2 linked regions of the Cricetulus griseus genome follow. The protein of the gene in region 1 interacts with the protein of each later gene in a pairwise test. Links are inferred from orthologs where the notes say so. Each region holds a gene or a part of one and is shown on either strand. Other genes may lie near its edges.

Evidence for each region. The genes of interacting proteins can lie anywhere in the genome.
Region 2: the proteins of Cnot1 (region 1) and Cnot4 interact in a two-hybrid assay, tested with the Homo sapiens proteins (3 studies listed by BioGRID and IntAct, with this or other methods). The link is inferred for Cricetulus griseus from reciprocal best matches to the Homo sapiens genes CNOT1 and CNOT4.

Annotation. Positions count from the first base shown.
Region 1 is NC_048596.1:171,915,736-171,925,979, reverse strand, and holds part of Cnot1 (CCR4-NOT transcription complex subunit 1), read left to right. Parts: coding exon 1-98; intron 99-801; coding exon 802-1,054; intron 1,055-3,568; coding exon 3,569-3,817; intron 3,818-5,096; coding exon 5,097-5,260; intron 5,261-5,674; coding exon 5,675-5,792; intron 5,793-6,757; coding exon 6,758-6,859; intron 6,860-7,966; coding exon 7,967-8,140; intron 8,141-8,932; coding exon 8,933-9,082; intron 9,083-9,986; coding exon 9,987-10,167; intron 10,168-10,244.
Region 2 is NW_023276806.1:192,809,978-192,816,949, reverse strand, and holds the start of Cnot4 (CCR4-NOT transcription complex subunit 4), read right to left. Parts: upstream 5,688-6,972; 5' UTR 5,455-5,687; intron 1-5,454. UniProt on the Homo sapiens protein: Has E3 ubiquitin ligase activity, promoting ubiquitination and degradation of target proteins. Involved in activation of the JAK/STAT pathway. Catalyzes ubiquitination of methylated RBM15.

The DNA of each region.
Region 1 (10,244 bases):
GAAAGGAGTGTTGCCCATATTACTGAGGCAGACCTATTCCATACCATTGAAACCCTCATGAGGATTAATGCTCATTCCAGAGGCAATGCTCCGGAAGGGTAAGAATGAAATGCTTTGCTTTCCTCATGCACTCAGCAGTCTCAGAGAGCTTTAGAAAATAATGTATACACTAACACTATTTTGTGACTGTTTCACGTAAATTTAGTGACATAATTTTAGTCAGGCCTTGTGTTGTCCTGAAAGTGTGAATGCTTAATCAACAGCCTTCTTGATAATAGATCTGTGCATATAGTAACTGATAAGTTGGCACCAGAAACCTGGTTTTAGCATTGGCTGTTCAGGCTGGAGATAAATGTCATGAAGTGCTTGCAGGAAGATCTAAAACCAATCCCTAGGAAGCTCCCACCCTTAAAGCCAAGTGTATTGGTGCACACTTGTAATGCTAGTGCTGAGCTAGCCACACGTCATATAGCCTAATCAGCAAACTCCAGGTTCTAGTAAGAAACTTTCTTAAGAAACAACATGGACAGATCTTGCAGAAATAATACACAACGTTGTCCTAAGCATGTACACATACATTCACCTGTCCACATAGGAATGTACACGGCACAAAACTGGTGTAGTTGTGCACACTGGTAATCTCAGCACTGGGGAGGCAGAGATAAGCAGATCTTAATGGCTCATTGACCAGCCAGCCTAGCCTATTTGAGTTTCCCAAGTTCTGATAAATGATCCAGTTGTGTATCTCTGAAATAAATAATGGTGGGTTAACTGATTTTCACTCTGAATTTATCATACTAGATTGCCCCAGCTGATGGAAGTAGTGCGATCCAACTATGAAGCAATGATTGATCGTGCTCATGGAGGCCCAAACTTTATGATGCATTCTGGGATCTCTCAAGCCTCAGAATATGATGACCCTCCAGGCCTGAGGGAGAAGGCAGAGTATCTTCTGAGGGAATGGGTGAATCTATACCATTCAGCAGCAGCTGGCCGTGACAGTACCAAAGCGTTCTCTGCGTTTGTTGGACAGGTAGAGCTTTTGGAAAGAAAGGTGCTTTTTATTCAACATAAGTAGGGTGTGATAACTCCAGTATTAAAGTTCAGTATTGTATACCTGTGGTCAGAATTACCTCCATATTCATGCAAAAATATCATCATTGTGCTCTGTTAAGTTGATATGGCCTATGTGTTTTTTTTTCCTCACTATTGATCATACATACTATAAATTCACCATTCCTACTCCAATAGTTCTATTTACCCCATTCCAGTTGTCATAGCTATAATTTGTGGTAGGTCATAATATGAATAACAAAGCCACAAAATATTTTTCTAATAAAATAGTCAGTGATAGATTTTAAGCCAATACATGAAAAATTTTAGAATATGTGCATATGTGGTTTTTTAAAGACAGGGTTTCTATATATACTCCTAGCTATTCTGGAACTCATTTTGTAGACCAGACTGGCCTTGAACTTACAGAGATCCACCTGCCTCTGCTTCCCAAGTGCTGGGATTAAAGGCGTGAGCCACCGCACCTACCTAGCACATTTTAAAAACAAGATACAACAAATCCCCTTTTAGTGGCAGAGTATTTTTATTATATTTTCTCTAGTATATCTGTTTATTGAATCTGATGCAAATTAAAGTTTGAGAGTGTTGGAAATTGAACTGCTTTCTAAAAGTCTAAAAGTAAGAGGCACCATGGCCAAGGCAACTCTTAGAAAAGAAAGCACTTAATTGGTTTGATTACAGTTTTCAGAGGTTGGAGTGTGGTGGCATGTATGGCACTGCAGCAGTAGCTGAGAGCTGCATCCTGATCCACAAGCAGAGACACAGAGAGACATATTGGGCTTGACAGACTTTTGAAACTGTGGAGCTACACAATCTTGTAACATTGTCTCAAAAAAAAAAAAAAAACAGTCCCTCTCTAATGACACACTTTCTCCAACAAGGGCAAACTTCCTAATCCTTCTCAAACAGTGTTCCTCCCTGGTGACTAGACATTCAAATATATGAGTATATGGGGCCATTCTTAGTCAGACCACCACACCAAAAATAAATCGTTATGGTGAGCTGGAGAGAGGGATAGGCAGTTAGAGGACATATTTTGTGCTGTTCCTGCAGAAGACTGTAGTTCCACATGCCAACTGACTGACTCCAGCTCCAAGGATATTCTGTACCTCTGGTCTTTGCAGATCTCTGCACTCTTGCACACATCTGTGCCATTGAACACAAGTGCACACCAACAAGCATGCCTGAGCACTCAAATACAATAAAAATAGTTAACAGAATAAACTGGGAATAGTCAGGGTCCATTTTGTATTCTGTCTTTGTTCATTACTGGCTGTTTACAGTGATGTGAAAAACATGAAGAATTAATGTCCTGACTGTAATAGAACTTGTCAGGAATAGTACTTCCTTGAACTGGCCTTAGAATTTCTTTAATAAAACTGTACAATATTTGTTCAGTAAGCTGTAACAGTTGACTATTCTGGTTTTTTTTTGTTGTTGTTCCCATTTCCTCAAATTGAAACCAAAAGTTGGTGTCTTACCAAAGAAATACCACTTAGGTCTAGTTTTTTTAAAAAAAGATTTATTTATTTATTATATATACAGTGTTCTGCTTCCATGACAGAAGAGGGCACCAGAGCCTACAGCAGATAGTTGTGAGACACCATGTGGTTGCTGGGAATTGAACTCAGGACCTCTGGAAGTATCCTTAACCTCTGAGCCATCTCTTCAGCCCACTTATGTCTATTTTTAAATACCCGACAATTAAGTGTGGGTGAACTAGTTAATTAGTAGTTTGGAGAGAGACCGTTTAGCTGTCAAAGGCTAGGCTCACAACCCCAAATATAAGAATTGGATATACTTTTCAGCATAAATGATACTGGTAAACTATGTCGTGTAAATTTCTTCTGATTCTCAGTCCATTGGAAGAAATTCAGATTCATGGCATTTTGTGGGCATTGTTGTGTTGTGGTTTTGATGTGGCTCCTGTGTTGCTGCCTTTTTTGAGACAGTGTTGCTGTGTAGTTCTGCCTGACTTGGAACTCACTTTGTCCACTAATATTAACAGTATAGAATATCATTACATTTAAATAACATAATTTTGAATGTTTATTAAATAAATGATTTTTCTGCAGATGGCTAGAATTTCAAAAGCTTTGCCATTGGTTAAATAAGAGGAGGGTGTCTGTGAGACATGTACGTTATGGGAAGTTAAACGTACGAGCAATTGAGTCTCCCTGGGAGAACAATTTAACACCTTGAGTTTCTGAAACTTAGCTTTATTTATATAATTTTTCTAGATTGTTTGGAGATACCCTCTTGTTCAAGGTTTATAATATAGTGTCTCTTTGTCAATTTCATTCTTCTCCATGAAATTAAAGCTGGGAGGAACTCTGCTGTGGCTCTTAATAATAAAGGAGTCATTTTCCTAATGGCATCCTTCCACACAGTAAGAATTAGAAATGGAAATAGAGTATGGCTATTTGAAAGCTAACATGTGTAAAGCTGATTTTGAGTATGGTCTCACTGTCTTGGTTGTTTGTTCCCACTGTAGATGCACCAACAAGGAATACTTAAGACTGATGACCTCATAACAAGGTTTTTTCGTCTTTGCACTGAAATGTGTGTTGAAATCAGTTATCGTGCTCAAGCGGAGCAGCAGCACAATCCTGCTGCCAATCCCACCATGATACGAGCCAAGTGTTATCACAACCTGGATGCCTTTGTCCGACTCATTGCACTGTTAGTGAAGCACTCTGGGGAGGCCACCAACACTGTCACCAAGATCAATCTGTTGAATAAGGTTGGGAGTCTTTTCCTGGACCCTTAGATTTTTGTGTTCTGTGTTGTTGTTTGAGACAGTGTCTTACTGTGTAGGTTTGGCTGGCCTGGAATTTACTGTGTAGATAAGGCTGTTCTCAAACTCTAGCTGTAGGTTTTTTCCATCCAAAAATGAAATATAGAAAAGAGTATCCACAATAGTTAAAAAGGTGCTGAAGAGAAGAGGAAAGAGAGAGGATCATAATGTATTTTGGTGTGTTGGTGCTTTGATGATGATCCCAACAGGCAGCAGGTTGGTAGTGTCTTCCTACCTCCAATTGCTGTGTCTGGTCTGGATGGGTAGACCAGTACCAGGAGTGGCATTTAATTATTGACCTGATTTATACAGTAGGATTCTTGAAAAGTTGAATGTCAAACTCTAGTTTGAGAATGTATAAAACTTGGCTGTAGACTTTGCTCTTGGAGAAATACAAGTGGGTCCTTAATGTACCCCCACTGATCAGTGAGTAAAAAGTGGAATGCAGACCTACTTATGTCAAGAGGGGTGAGAACCATTTGTCCCCTGTGGACATTGGGTCCCATTAGAAGACTTAACATTGTGGTATTTTACTGTGATGAAACGTGAAGAGACATCCTGTTTTCTAAAGCTTTAGAAAAACCAGTGGCACCTGTGGAGAATATAGAAGTTTGATCTAATGATAATGAAATTCAAAGAAAACACACAGAGGCAAATATCTCTTTGACTGCCCACATACAAATTTGTGTTCAGATGGCATGTATCTTTTCCTTCATTGTTTGTAGTACTTAAGAGTGCAGGGTAAACCAGTCCTGGTGGTGCAGTCCTATAAGTGTTTGGAAGACTGATTAAGGCAGGAACATCACAATGAGACTTGCAAACTCAAAGCCAGCTTTTGGAAATATTAGTAAGACCTTGTCTCAGAAAATAAACAAAAACAAGCCTGAAGATAGTACTCAAGCAATGGAATACTTGCCTAGCATTTGTGAGTGTGAGGGCCTGGTTTCAACCCAAGAACAAGATAGAAGAATCCTGATTTAGCAGGACGGTGGTGGCGCACGTGCCTTTAATCCTAGCACTTGGGAAGTAGAAATGGGCAGATCTCTGTGAGTTTGAGGCCAACCTGGTCTATACAGTGAATTCCAGGATAGCCAGGGCTGGACAGAGAGAAACCCTGTTTCAAAAAACCAACTTAAATAAACAAAAATAGAGAAAAAGTCATGTATTGGAAGCAGAAAGTGGCTTGTCTGTGTGACTGATGAGCTTTACTCTGTGTTCTGTATAGGTTCTTGGTATAGTAGTGGGAGTTCTCCTACAGGATCATGATGTTCGGCAGAGTGAATTTCAGCAGCTTCCCTACCATAGGATTTTTATCATGCTGCTGTTGGAGCTCAATGCACCTGAGCATGTGTTGGAAACCATTAATTTCCAGACTCTTACAGCTTTCTGGTGAGTGTTGGGGTTTAGTAGAGATTTCCATTTGTTGTTATCTGACATGGGGTCTTACAGCTTAGATTTACCTCTAAAGTTCCTACGCTGCTGAGGCTGGTCTTGGACTCCTAATTCTCCTGATTCTAGCTTCTAAGAGCTGGAATTACAGGCATGTACACATTTAACTTGATTGTTGGTCTTTGTTTCTCGATGGTAGTTCTCACTTGGTAGTAGCGCAGGCTGTGCTGGGATCACAGGCAGTGCCATATTCCTTGCTAAGATTTAAGGACTGTTGGTTTAATGTAGTAAAAATCAAGTAGAACTTTGGTATGTTTAGGAACAAGGTGTTTTTTGTTTTTGTTTTTTAATGAAGTAACTTAACTTGCATTCATGTGTTGTTTACTATATTTAATTTTGAACTTTTTCTTTCAGCAATACATTCCATATCTTAAGGCCTACCAAAGCTCCTGGCTTTGTATATGCCTGGCTTGAATTGATCTCGCATCGGATCTTTATTGCAAGAATGCTGGCACATACGCCACAGCAGAAGGTGTGGCTGCAGTTTATCTCCTACAGATGAAGCCTGTAACTACCTGGGGCTTACTAGCACTGTTTATGTCGGTTTCTGTTAGTTACTTAGTTTATTTTTTCCAGGGGTGTTATTTGGTAATTATCAAAGGTCAAGTCACAGCATGTAAACAGGCTTATGGAGTCTTGACTCATTTAAAGCTTTCATGTATTACTCCTCTAGCTTTGTTATGCATCATCTCTGTTGGTCTCTTAATGTTTTGTGTTGTTAACAATATTTAATATGAGAAGTTTTTCATTTTGCAATTAAACTGCAGAAGAGTACTGTATATAGTACTTTCATTTGGCCCTTCAGACCAGAACTACTATGTGTTGAAGTAAACTGGACAAGAAAGTGAAATAATCACTTAATGAACTGGTTTTGTTCTATGATTTTCATATGCAAACCATGGCACACAGACACATGCATGACGTATGCACACAAAAAGATGAAATATAACTGGTATGGTTGCAGCACGTATAGTAAGCAGGCTGATGTTATAAATCAGCAAGGTTATTTACTAGGAGTTGGGAGTAAGAAAAGAAATAGTTGAGACCCAGACCTTAAGGAATTATGAAAACCAGCCTACAATTGGTTTGGTATTATATCTGAAATTTCCTCAAGGTAGTCTCCTTTTTCTTACTTAGTTTTCTTACAGGCACAAAAGCAAATGTGTCCCCAGATCTCTGGAGTCTTCTTATTCCAGAAAAAGTCATCCACTACCTTAATACTTAGTCTTTTCATTTTGTTGGATATTTGTGTTTTTCTCACCCTCCTATTATATGCTAGCTACCACACTGAGCTAATACTGCATTGAGAGGTCTTGTCACATCAGTGTTTTACGCTTAACATTAGTGTGGATAACCATAGTGTAGTGACTTGGCAACTCTTTTGTAGTTGAACAACTTGAGATGTCACTATAACTCATATACATTTCTTTCTTTTAGGGGTGGCCTATGTACGCACAGCTGTTGATTGATTTATTCAAATATTTAGCGCCTTTCCTTAGAAACGTGGAACTCACTAAACCTATGCAAATACTCTACAAGGTAATTTTTATTTATAAATAACTGAATTTTGTAACATGTGGGCTGTTGTTATTATTCTCTTACAGTTAACACACAGGATACTCAGAAAGCCTTGCTTAAGTGGAAAGTTAGTTTTCCCCCATGTTCTCTGCTAGGGTCCCCCCCCCCCCCCCCCCAACACACACACCATTTTAGCAATTTGATACAATCTCACTGAGGATTTAATTTCTATTTCCTTAATGGTTTTTTGTTTTTTAAATAATTTTTTCTTAGATTTAAGTTATGACTTTTGCATGCATGTAAATGCCCCATGTGTTTGCCTGGTACTCAGTGAATACAGAAGAGGTTGTCAGGGCCCCGGAACTGGTGTTAAAGATGGTTGTGAGCCACCGTGTAGCTTCTGGGAATCAAACTCTGCTCTTCAGCAAGAGCAGCAAATATTCTTAACTACTGAGCCATCTCTCCGGAGATGTTTATTTCTTGAGACAGAGCCTCATTATATAGCCCTGGTTTGCTTAGAAACAGGAGGTCCTCCTAATTCTGTCTTGTTCTTGCTGGAATTAAAGGCATGTGTCACCTGACTTCTTTACTGTGCCACCCTTTTTGTGATGTTCCTTCCAGTAGTTTGCTCACGTTTCCCTAGGATTGTTTGCATTTTTATTTTCGAGTTTTAATTGTTTTTCTATGGCTCTGGCAATCAAACTTAGGGCCTTCTTAGACATACTAGGCTATCTCAGGTTGCTAAGGAGTTCTTACCACCTGTTGATCAGAATTGTTGAATTTACTAAACTTGTCAAGAACTAACAAGCTAGCTTTGATCTCACCCCCATTTTCAGTTAATGTATTATGGCCCCTTCCTTAAATTTTGGTTTTGTCCTCTTTCTAGCATCTAAGGATAGATGCTCCATCATTGTATTGTTTTTGTGCAGAATATATTGTACTTTATATTTAAGGCACCAGCTCCAACTTTATGGTTTCTACATGTAATTATTTTTGTAATCTTAACTGTATTTATTGATTTTTTTATGTTAATAACATATACATATTTTTGACCTAAGTTAGAATTCATGATCGGGAAGAAAAAAAATACTGCTTTCTTAGTGTGGAACGTTTTTTCTTTTTATTCAGGGTACTCTAAGAGTGCTGCTAGTTCTTTTGCATGATTTCCCAGAGTTCCTTTGTGATTACCATTATGGGTTCTGTGATGTGATCCCTCCTAATTGTATCCAGTTAAGAAATTTGATCCTGAGTGCCTTCCCAAGAAATATGAGGCTCCCAGACCCATTCACTCCTAATCTGAAGGTAAAGTTTTAATAGATGGAACATGGTTGTTTTGTTTTCCTTCCTTGTTTCTTTCAATTTTAGTTCTAATCTATGTATATGTGTGTGACTTTATGTGTACCACATGCATGTGGGAGTCTGGAGAGACTTGCATAAGGTAATGAATGCCCTTGAAATAGAATCAGATTGTGAGCTGCCATGTGTGTGATGGGAACTGAAATCAGGCCCTCTAAAAGAGAGACCAGTGCTCTTAACCACTGGGCCATCTTTGCAGTTCCTAAAGGAAAAAGTTTTTATTGTGATTTTCCAGCCCCTTCTATGATAAGCAGCCTATTTGAAATCATTAAATTTAACATTCCCACCCCCAACATACACACACATATGCATGCTTTAGGCAATGGTTGTTAGGGTAGCTAATTCTGATTGGTGTGATGTTGTCCCTGAATATTGGTTCATACTATTTTTCTGGTTATCGTTTCTCATAATTTCGACCTTAAGTTTAGGTATAATTATTGAACCCTAGACTGAATGTTGGGCAATTGCTGGTCCCAAGCTGCGTTATTGAACAAAGTAATCTTTGCAATGTCTATAGTTCACAAGATTCAGTGTACATATGTTTAAATTGTTTAAGGAAAGGGACCACTTGAAAACCATTAACATAAATACTGAGAAATATATAGACAGAGAGAGAGAGAGAGAGAGAGAGAGAGAGAGAGAGAGAGAGAGAATTTTACAAAGCTGTCCTTATGCTTCTGTCTTAGGTATGATATGTTAACTTCTGTGCCCGATTCTGATTCTTGATATTTGTGACAGGTGGACATGTTGAGTGAAATTAACATTGCACCTCGGATCCTCACCAATTTCACTGGAGTGATGCCACCTCAGTTCAAAAAAGATTTGGATTCCTATCTTAAAACTCGATCCCCTGTCACTTTTCTGTCGGATCTGCGCAGTAACCTACAGGTTAATTGGTTTGACTTAAGTTTTTCTCTGCTGTGTCTTCAATACAGGTCACTTTGTGTGCACTGCCCTTTGTGTGTCATTTTCGGAGTTAGTATTTTCAGCCTGATTTGTATATTTAGAAACACTGTTGAATTTGAATGTGGCAATACATACCTGTTTCTTTGGTGTGCTGAGGAAACTGAGGAAGATAGATCACGAGTTTGTAGACAGCCTGAACTACGACGGCATCACCTCATCTCCCAAAACATGCCCACCCTGTATACATACCTAAATACCGTTGTACCTGTTCATTGGGTGACCTTAACTGGGTTATATACTTTACTAATATTTTTGTCATTAACCCAGTTATAACTGAGATCATTAGGGAAGACATTACTTTCCTCTAAGATCTGGTCAACATCCCAAATAAAGGGATTGCATTTATATTTGCTTTATAGAGTAACTTGAAGTGGAATTATCACACTGCAACAATTTCTTTCTCCAAACTTATATAATTGAGGTTATACTTGTTTTGAATGGCTAAATTTTATTTTCTAGCTATATCATGTGCAAAATGACAGTATTTTGGTTTTCAAAGGAACTCACTTCTGGTTAAATCACTTCTTAGGACAGCTGTACATTTGTATAGTTCAAAATCCTGTGTAAACTTCTTTCATCTAAATTGCAAAGAATATGAACTGTGCATCCCTTCCAAAGATCCTGAAAAGGATTGAGAAATAGTAGTGCTGTGGGGCATAGTGGCCCACGCCTTTAATCTCAGCACTGGGAGGCAGAGGCAGGTGGATCTCTCAGTTCAAACCCAGCCAGAGCTACATTGTGAGAATCCTGTCTCTGGAAAAAAGAAAAGAAATAGTAGTGCTAGTCAGTCAGTTCTTTGGTAAAGTTTTCTCTTGTGTTCATTTAGGTATCTAATGAGCCTGGCAATCGCTACAACCTCCAGCTTATCAACGCACTGGTGCTCTATGTAGGGACTCAGGCCATTGCACACATCCACAACAAGGGCAGCACGCCTTCAATGAGCACCATCACCCACTCAGCACACATGGACATCTTCCAGAACCTGGCTGTGGACTTAGACACCGAGGGTGAGTGAAGCTGCCCAATTCGCATCATCAGATTCTCTGTCCTTTGCCACAGATGAAAAGAATCTAGAACATTTCTT
Region 2 (6,972 bases), on another chromosome or scaffold:
TACCACTACACTGGATATTTGAGCTTTGTTTATACACACTGGTTTTGCGCACAGTCAACTTGACCATTTTGATTCCTAATTCTATTCCATAACTGCTTAACTTAATAGATGAGATATTTAGTGACCATATCAAACAATATGTTTCTGAAGAGATATCTAATACATATGCTATTCAAATAGTAAGGCACACCTAGTAATAGTAAGTACATCAACTACCTATCTATCATTTAGTACAAGTAAACCTTGAGAGAGAGAAATCTTCCTATATAAACAGCTTAATAAAGGAGCCATCCTCACAAATACACTGAGACAAAAAAGAAAATCATTTCAGACTGCCTTATACTCATATATCTTTTATTTTAGGCTTTCCTCTTCTGACAAAAAAAAAAAAAAAAAAAAAAAAAAAAAAAAAAAAAAAAAAAAAAAAAACATGCAATGCCTTTAATCCCAGCACTCCGGAGGTGGAAGCAGAGGCAGGCGGATCTCTGTGAGTTGGAAGCCAGCCAATCTAGCCTATTTGGTGAGTTTCAGGTCAATGAGAAACTCTGTTCCCATTCCTAAAGTTGACACATGAAGCTGTTGGCATACCTACACACATGAATCTGTGTGAACAGACAAATGCACACACAGAAAGACAGCCATTTTTTTTATTATGAAAGAATAATGTGGGAGACCCCATTAGATTACTACATTTGGGAAAGCTGGCATTTTATCACACAATCTTTCAACTAAAGAAGTCTACAAAATGGGTGGGGCCTTTAATGGTGAAAGCCTTTAACCCCAACACTCTTGAGGCAAAGGCAGGTGAATCTCTGTCAGTTTGAGACCAGTCTGGTATACTGAATGAGTTGTAGGACAGCCAGAGCTGTTACACAGAGAAACCCTGTTTCAAAAAAAAAAAAATTTTTTTAAAAACTTTAAAGTTAAAAAAATGAGATTAATATTTTGAAATAAAATGTGTAAATACCCACAACTTGATCAAAGAAGTAGATTACACTATCATTAATTCATGCAGTCTCAATTTTTGAAGAAAAAAATACATTATGTCTTTAAGTTGCCAGGATTACAACAACTTTCTTTTCAAGAATGGGTATTTGTAGACTTTTCCTAATAACTCTGAGGGAACAGAAAGTTTATAAAATCTTAGAATGTGTTACTAAGTTTCATCTGATACATGCTATTCCGGTGGGATGAAAACCATTTACAAGTTCCATTTAGATTAAGAAATCCTTTGGGAAATGTATGTAGTACATTCTAGTTATTCTGTTTCTAGATCGGCAAAAACCTGTATAACCTATTTCCCTACTGTTTTTGTTTCAAAACCAACTTAGTTCACTATAACTTCCTTCACAAAACGTCAAGGCAATAATATAGGTAGTGACAGAACTATTTGAATTTTCAGCAGAGACTGAAGCTTTCAAAAATTAAACCTATCTCACATTCTACAAAAACAGTAACAGTTCAATCAAGTATTACTTGCAGTCACATAGAAAAATCATTAAAATGAAGAGTGCAGCTTCATCTTAAAACAGGGAGTAAAGAGGAAGGAAAAAAAAGCTTCTAAAATCAAACTGCTTAAATAAACTGTTTTTCATTCTCTTAAGACACAAAGTCAGCCGGGTGGTGGTGGCACACGCCTTTAATCCCAGCACTCGGGAGGCAGAGGCAGGCGGATCTATGTGAGTTCGAGACCAGCCTGGTCTACAACAGCTAGTTCCAGGATAGGCTCTAAAGCCACAGAGAAACCCCCTGTCTGGGGGGGAGGGGGGGGACGGACGACAAAAAGACAAAAAAAAAAAAACCCTTTTTACAATAAACCCCCCTGAAAGCTACTGTCTAGCATGCAGGAGGCTCCACATTCCAGCCTAGTGCCACAAAATGCTCTGTGCTCACCCAGGACTGGTTACATGGGTAGCTCACACCTCTATTTCCAGTCTAAGGAAGCTGAAGCAGGATGGTTCTCCTGAAGGCAGCTTAGCCTACATAGTCAGCTCCAGGACAGCCTGAGCGACACCATTAAAACCTCATTTCAGAACAACAAAAACAAAGTAATGGGGTGCAAGTTATCTCTAGCATTTCCATTTAAATGAAGTCAACAAATGTCACAAAAGAATTCTATTTTGTATTTTGCTGTTTGATTGTATCTTTCATCCCAATCAAATTAAAGGTTTATCTATGCAACTTTCTGAAAAATTATACAGTAAGCCAACTTTAAGTAACTCACGTTTAAAAATCTTATACAAACAAACTATTCATTTGAAGACTTCAACTATTCAACTTGGCAGAAAGAATTCAAAACTATCAAAGGAAATCATTAAGTATAAAACTGCCATGCTGAAAATGTTACAAATAAAAACACAAGAATATTTATAAAATTCAACTTACTTCCTATCAATTTGTCAAAGAACTTTTACATCTTCTCTAGACATCCTAAAGATCTCAAATAAATTCACTTTTATTTCAAAAGGCTAGAAGCAAGAATTTGATAACCTCAGAGGAGACAAAAATGACTTAAGAAACTGAGTGAGCCAAATACCTTACAAAAGAAAAGATGTATTAAAAACTCACTCACCCCTTCTATCAGACAAACAGTCCTCTCCTCAGAACATACTGCTTACAATTCAGCCAAGTATGACTGCCAAGAGTATCTAGACAAGATTGTTCAAAGTGGAAGCTTTCTACCAGCATCTATTTTTTACTTGGAGTTGAAGACAAGTTATTGATAAACTAAATGAAAAGTTTTCTTTTTTAACTTCAAGGAAAGACAAGGTTTGCTATATAAAATTGCTTCCAATTCTCAGAAGAATAGGGATTTATTCAATTTTGCCAAATAGGGGCTTAAATGGCTAAAGGGGGGGGGGGTAGGCCAGGCATAGGAGGGCACACCTAGCACTCAGGAGGAAGAGGCAGGAAGATCAATACAAGTTCAAGACCAGCCTGATCTATATTGCTTATTCCAGGTCAGAGCTACACAAAGACCATGCCTAAAAATGAAAAGGAGGAAAAAAAAAAAAAAGAGAGAGAGAGAGAGAGAAGAAAGGAGCAAGCTTTTTGTTTTTCCAGACGGGATTTCTCTGTGTAGTTCTGTAGACCAGGCTGGCCTTGAACTCACAGAAATCGGCCTGCCTCTGCCTCCCCAGTGCTTCGATTAAAGGCATGAGCCACCACTGCCCGGCTGAAAGAAGTAAGCTTTAGGAACAGCTTTTCTAACCTTAGTTTACATTTTTAAAGACTGTTTCACAATAACAGAATGTAATATCAAATACAAGAATACTCAAATGTTATAGGTAAAATATGTAAAGCAATAACCTGGTAATGTGCAAAAGTGTCTAGAGGACACTTTTGTATTTACATGTAAAGTGTTTTTTACTGTTTTCCCAATAAGAGACAAACTGCATCAAGGCTGTTACTGTGACTTTAAATATTTTATATATATATAATATATATATATATATATATTATATATATATATATATATATATATACATACACATACAAAACAAACATATATGTTTGCAAAACAAACACTTTTTCTACACAACGTTTCTGTGTAGGCCTGGCTGTTCTGGAACTTGCTCTGTAGAACAAGCTGACCTTGAACTCACAGAGATCCACCTGCTTCTGCCTCCTGGGTGCTGGGATTAAAGGTGTGCGTCACCACTATCTAGATTGCATATATATTAATGTATATATAATATATATGTGTTATGTTCAAATTTGACATGTGTGTATCTGACCTACATAACCCTATTTGCTTTTCTGGCAATTCTTTATTTCACTGGGGTGCATTATAGCAATGGCTCTGACTTTTCTTTATGAAAACAAGTACATTTCAATTGTGCTTTCACTAAACCATGCCCTTGGGTTTCTAGTTCTTACTATAGGTGACAACAGCTAAGTGCCACTGTATATGCACAGCTTTTTGACTTCTCTCAGCCCCTTCTTTTCTATGGGGAAAAAAATGAATTTAAGTTTACCCCAAAATATCAACTTCTCTTTTGCATACATACCCAATATATTTTTCCACACAACTTATTCAGATAACTCCTATCCTAAAAATGTCAAAAGAGGGAACTTCCCAGATCAAAAGAGAAAAAAAAAAAAGGTCAATCTTACACTAGCCAGGAAATCTCCACCCAAATCACAAATAAATGTTATCAATTAACCTAAACATCATTATGATGTGGCTAATAATCTATTCTCAATATAAAAGGAATCCGTAACACACATATGATCAAAATACCATTTGTATTTGCATAGAGTGTGTGTGTGTGTGTGTTTGCTCTCGCTCGTGAGAGCCAGATTCATCTTGTTTTGAAATGCTAAGCTGTTCTTTATGGGTATAATCAGCGTCCAAATCAAGTGTCCTGAGGAAAGGCAATTCAGGAGAATGCTGAGTGGCATGGAGAAGGTCGAAAATAAGAGAGAGAGAGAGAGAGAGAGAGAGAGAGAGAGAGAGAGAGAGAGAGAGAGAGAGAGAGAGAGTAAAAAGCCATGGTCCAACAGAGTGAATGAGCAACAAAAAGATCACACGATGCAAAAAAAAAAATTCCTGGGTAGCCTGAAGAAAGATCCAGTACCCTACCTCACCTCACTTCATTCACTTCCCAACTTCCTCTACTTTTCAAGGAACAACAAGAGGCATCTCCCCTTTTCTGGAAGTGTGTGTTGAAAGAATCTGTATTGGAAAGAGGAAAGGAATCGACTCTACTCAAGAAGGCTGAGAAACAGGTGGGTTACACCGAAGCAACCGGGCAGCAACATAATTTAGATACTCACGGGGAGGCTTTTGGATGACTGATGTGGCTAAAGGAGACTGATTGCACCTCGGAATCAGCCGGGTCTGGCAGACAGACCGGGGGCTGACTGCATGACTGCAAGCACTGGAGGAGGGCAGAGGCAGTGGAGAGGGGCAAAAGAAAAAAAGGGGGGGCAAAAAACCCCAAGCACCAAAGAGGGCGGGTGGGCAATAAGCAACAGCAGCACCGGTCGGAGTAGAAGTGAGGATGGTTCTGGCTTCGGAGACCAGGGCCAGCTGGAAAGCACGTCAGAGGGGAAAGGGGACTGGAGAAACAAGGAGGACTGAGACCTAAGGGTACTGTTGCCGGAAAAAATGCGGGGCAAAGCTGGCGATAAGAAGCCCTCTTGGCTCCCCAATTGAAGAAATTCTCTGAGGAGAGAGCCGGCGCTCGCCGCCGCGCTGCCTCCAGCCCGGCAGCCTTTTCCTGGTGGTAACTGCTGTGGCGTAGAGGGGAGAGGGAGGAAGAGGAGGAGGAGGAGGAGGGAGCCGGGGGAGGAGGAGGAGGAGGAGGTGGAGGAGGAGGAGGAGGGTGAAGACGAGGCGGGGGATGGGGAGAAAGGGGGGTGCGGCCTGCACAGTCCCGGCGAAGCCTCCGCTCTCTCGTAGCCGGTCAGCCCCGGGCTTCCCCTAAGCCCAGCCCCGCAGACACTCACCCGCCTGCCTTGCCTCGCTTTTCCCTTCGCCGACTCCACGCGCTGCCGCGTCCTCACAGGAGACCAATGAACGAGAGCCGGCGAAATAACTCTTCAGAAGCGGGCCTGACTGCTTCAGCGAGTCCGACCTTTACGGCTGAGAGAGACTCTCAGCTTTCGGTGGGTTCCACAGCTAGACGGGCCACCATCTTACATTAGGGTAAGACTCCTCCGGCCTCCGGTGCGCAGGCGCATGCCGAGCGGGCTGGGCGGGGCGGGGGAGGGGCGGGACGAGCGGCAGGCGGCCGAGTGGGAGGTTGCGGCGGGCTGGTCCGCTGCACCCTGGGAGTTGTAGTCCCCGGAGGACGGCCGCCCCGAGGCAGGCCGGGAATTGAAGTCATCCGTGGAGCGGGCGCTCGGGAGTTCCTCGCCTCACGTGGCTGCTGGAGCGCCGGCTTTCTTCTTGTTTTGCTTCCTCCTCTGCCCTCGTGTGCGGCTGCTGTGTCATGTGGTCGGCGGTTTTCATTAGCGTTTGCTGAGATGCAGGAAGCAAGCCAGAGCTCCGAGACACTTAGCTGAGGGTTTGCGGGGAGCGGGGATGGGTGTTATCCGCCCCGCCCTTCGCAGAGAGGTAGCATCGGGCCGGGGCGCTGGGGAGGGGGAGGAGGAATGGGGTCGAGGGTTGCGAGGGCGCGGGATTTGAACCGCACAGAGGCTTGGATGCTCCCGGGGAAGAGTGAGCGTCCTCGGTCTCCCGGTCTTTGCAGCTCGTCCTTACGGCAAGACCTCCAGGGAGGAGATCCCCCGGAGTGCCAGGTGCGCGGGGACAGCGCGTGCCGCCGGTGCGAGCGGCTGGCCCAGCCCGCCCAGCCGTGCACGAACACACGCCGCCCGGAGAGCCCGATGCAAAACCTCAGCCCGATCCGGCGCCGGAGTAGCAGATCCTAAACAGCCAAGGCCCGCGCTTGGCTGCGCTCGCCTGGCTGCCTGTCCCGGGGCGGTCGGTTCTGTTTATGGCGAGTATATTCTTCTTCACCCAGTCCTACAAATGCTGACACCTCCTCGGCACCCAGCCCTGGGCCGCAGGCTGGGAACTGCAGTGAGCAGGGCCACCGATCTCCCGTCCCCGTCCCGGCGCCTGTGCACGTGCTGGGGTTTGGAGAAGTGGAAGGAAACAAAATTTCGAATCCAGCATTAAAATACCTGTGTAGGGTGTACCACAGTGGTAGTGCGGTCTGGCACACTTGAGGCCCGAAAGCAAAAGGCGCGAGGGGAGGATTAAAAACGGAAAAGGGAAGAGTAGGGAAAGAAACTCACGTTTTAAAATCTGAGATCCCTTAGTGAAAAAGCCCTCATTTCACTTTTTTTAAATCATTTTTCTCATTTCACTTTTTTTTTAATTATTTTTCTATGGTTCCACTTTCACTCAAGGTAGAGTCAATAATTTTAGTGAAGAATCAGTGGTAATAAACTCACACTTAATTGAATTGAAGTTACAAAAATCATATAAAATGATTACCTGAAAATAACTTTGGAAAA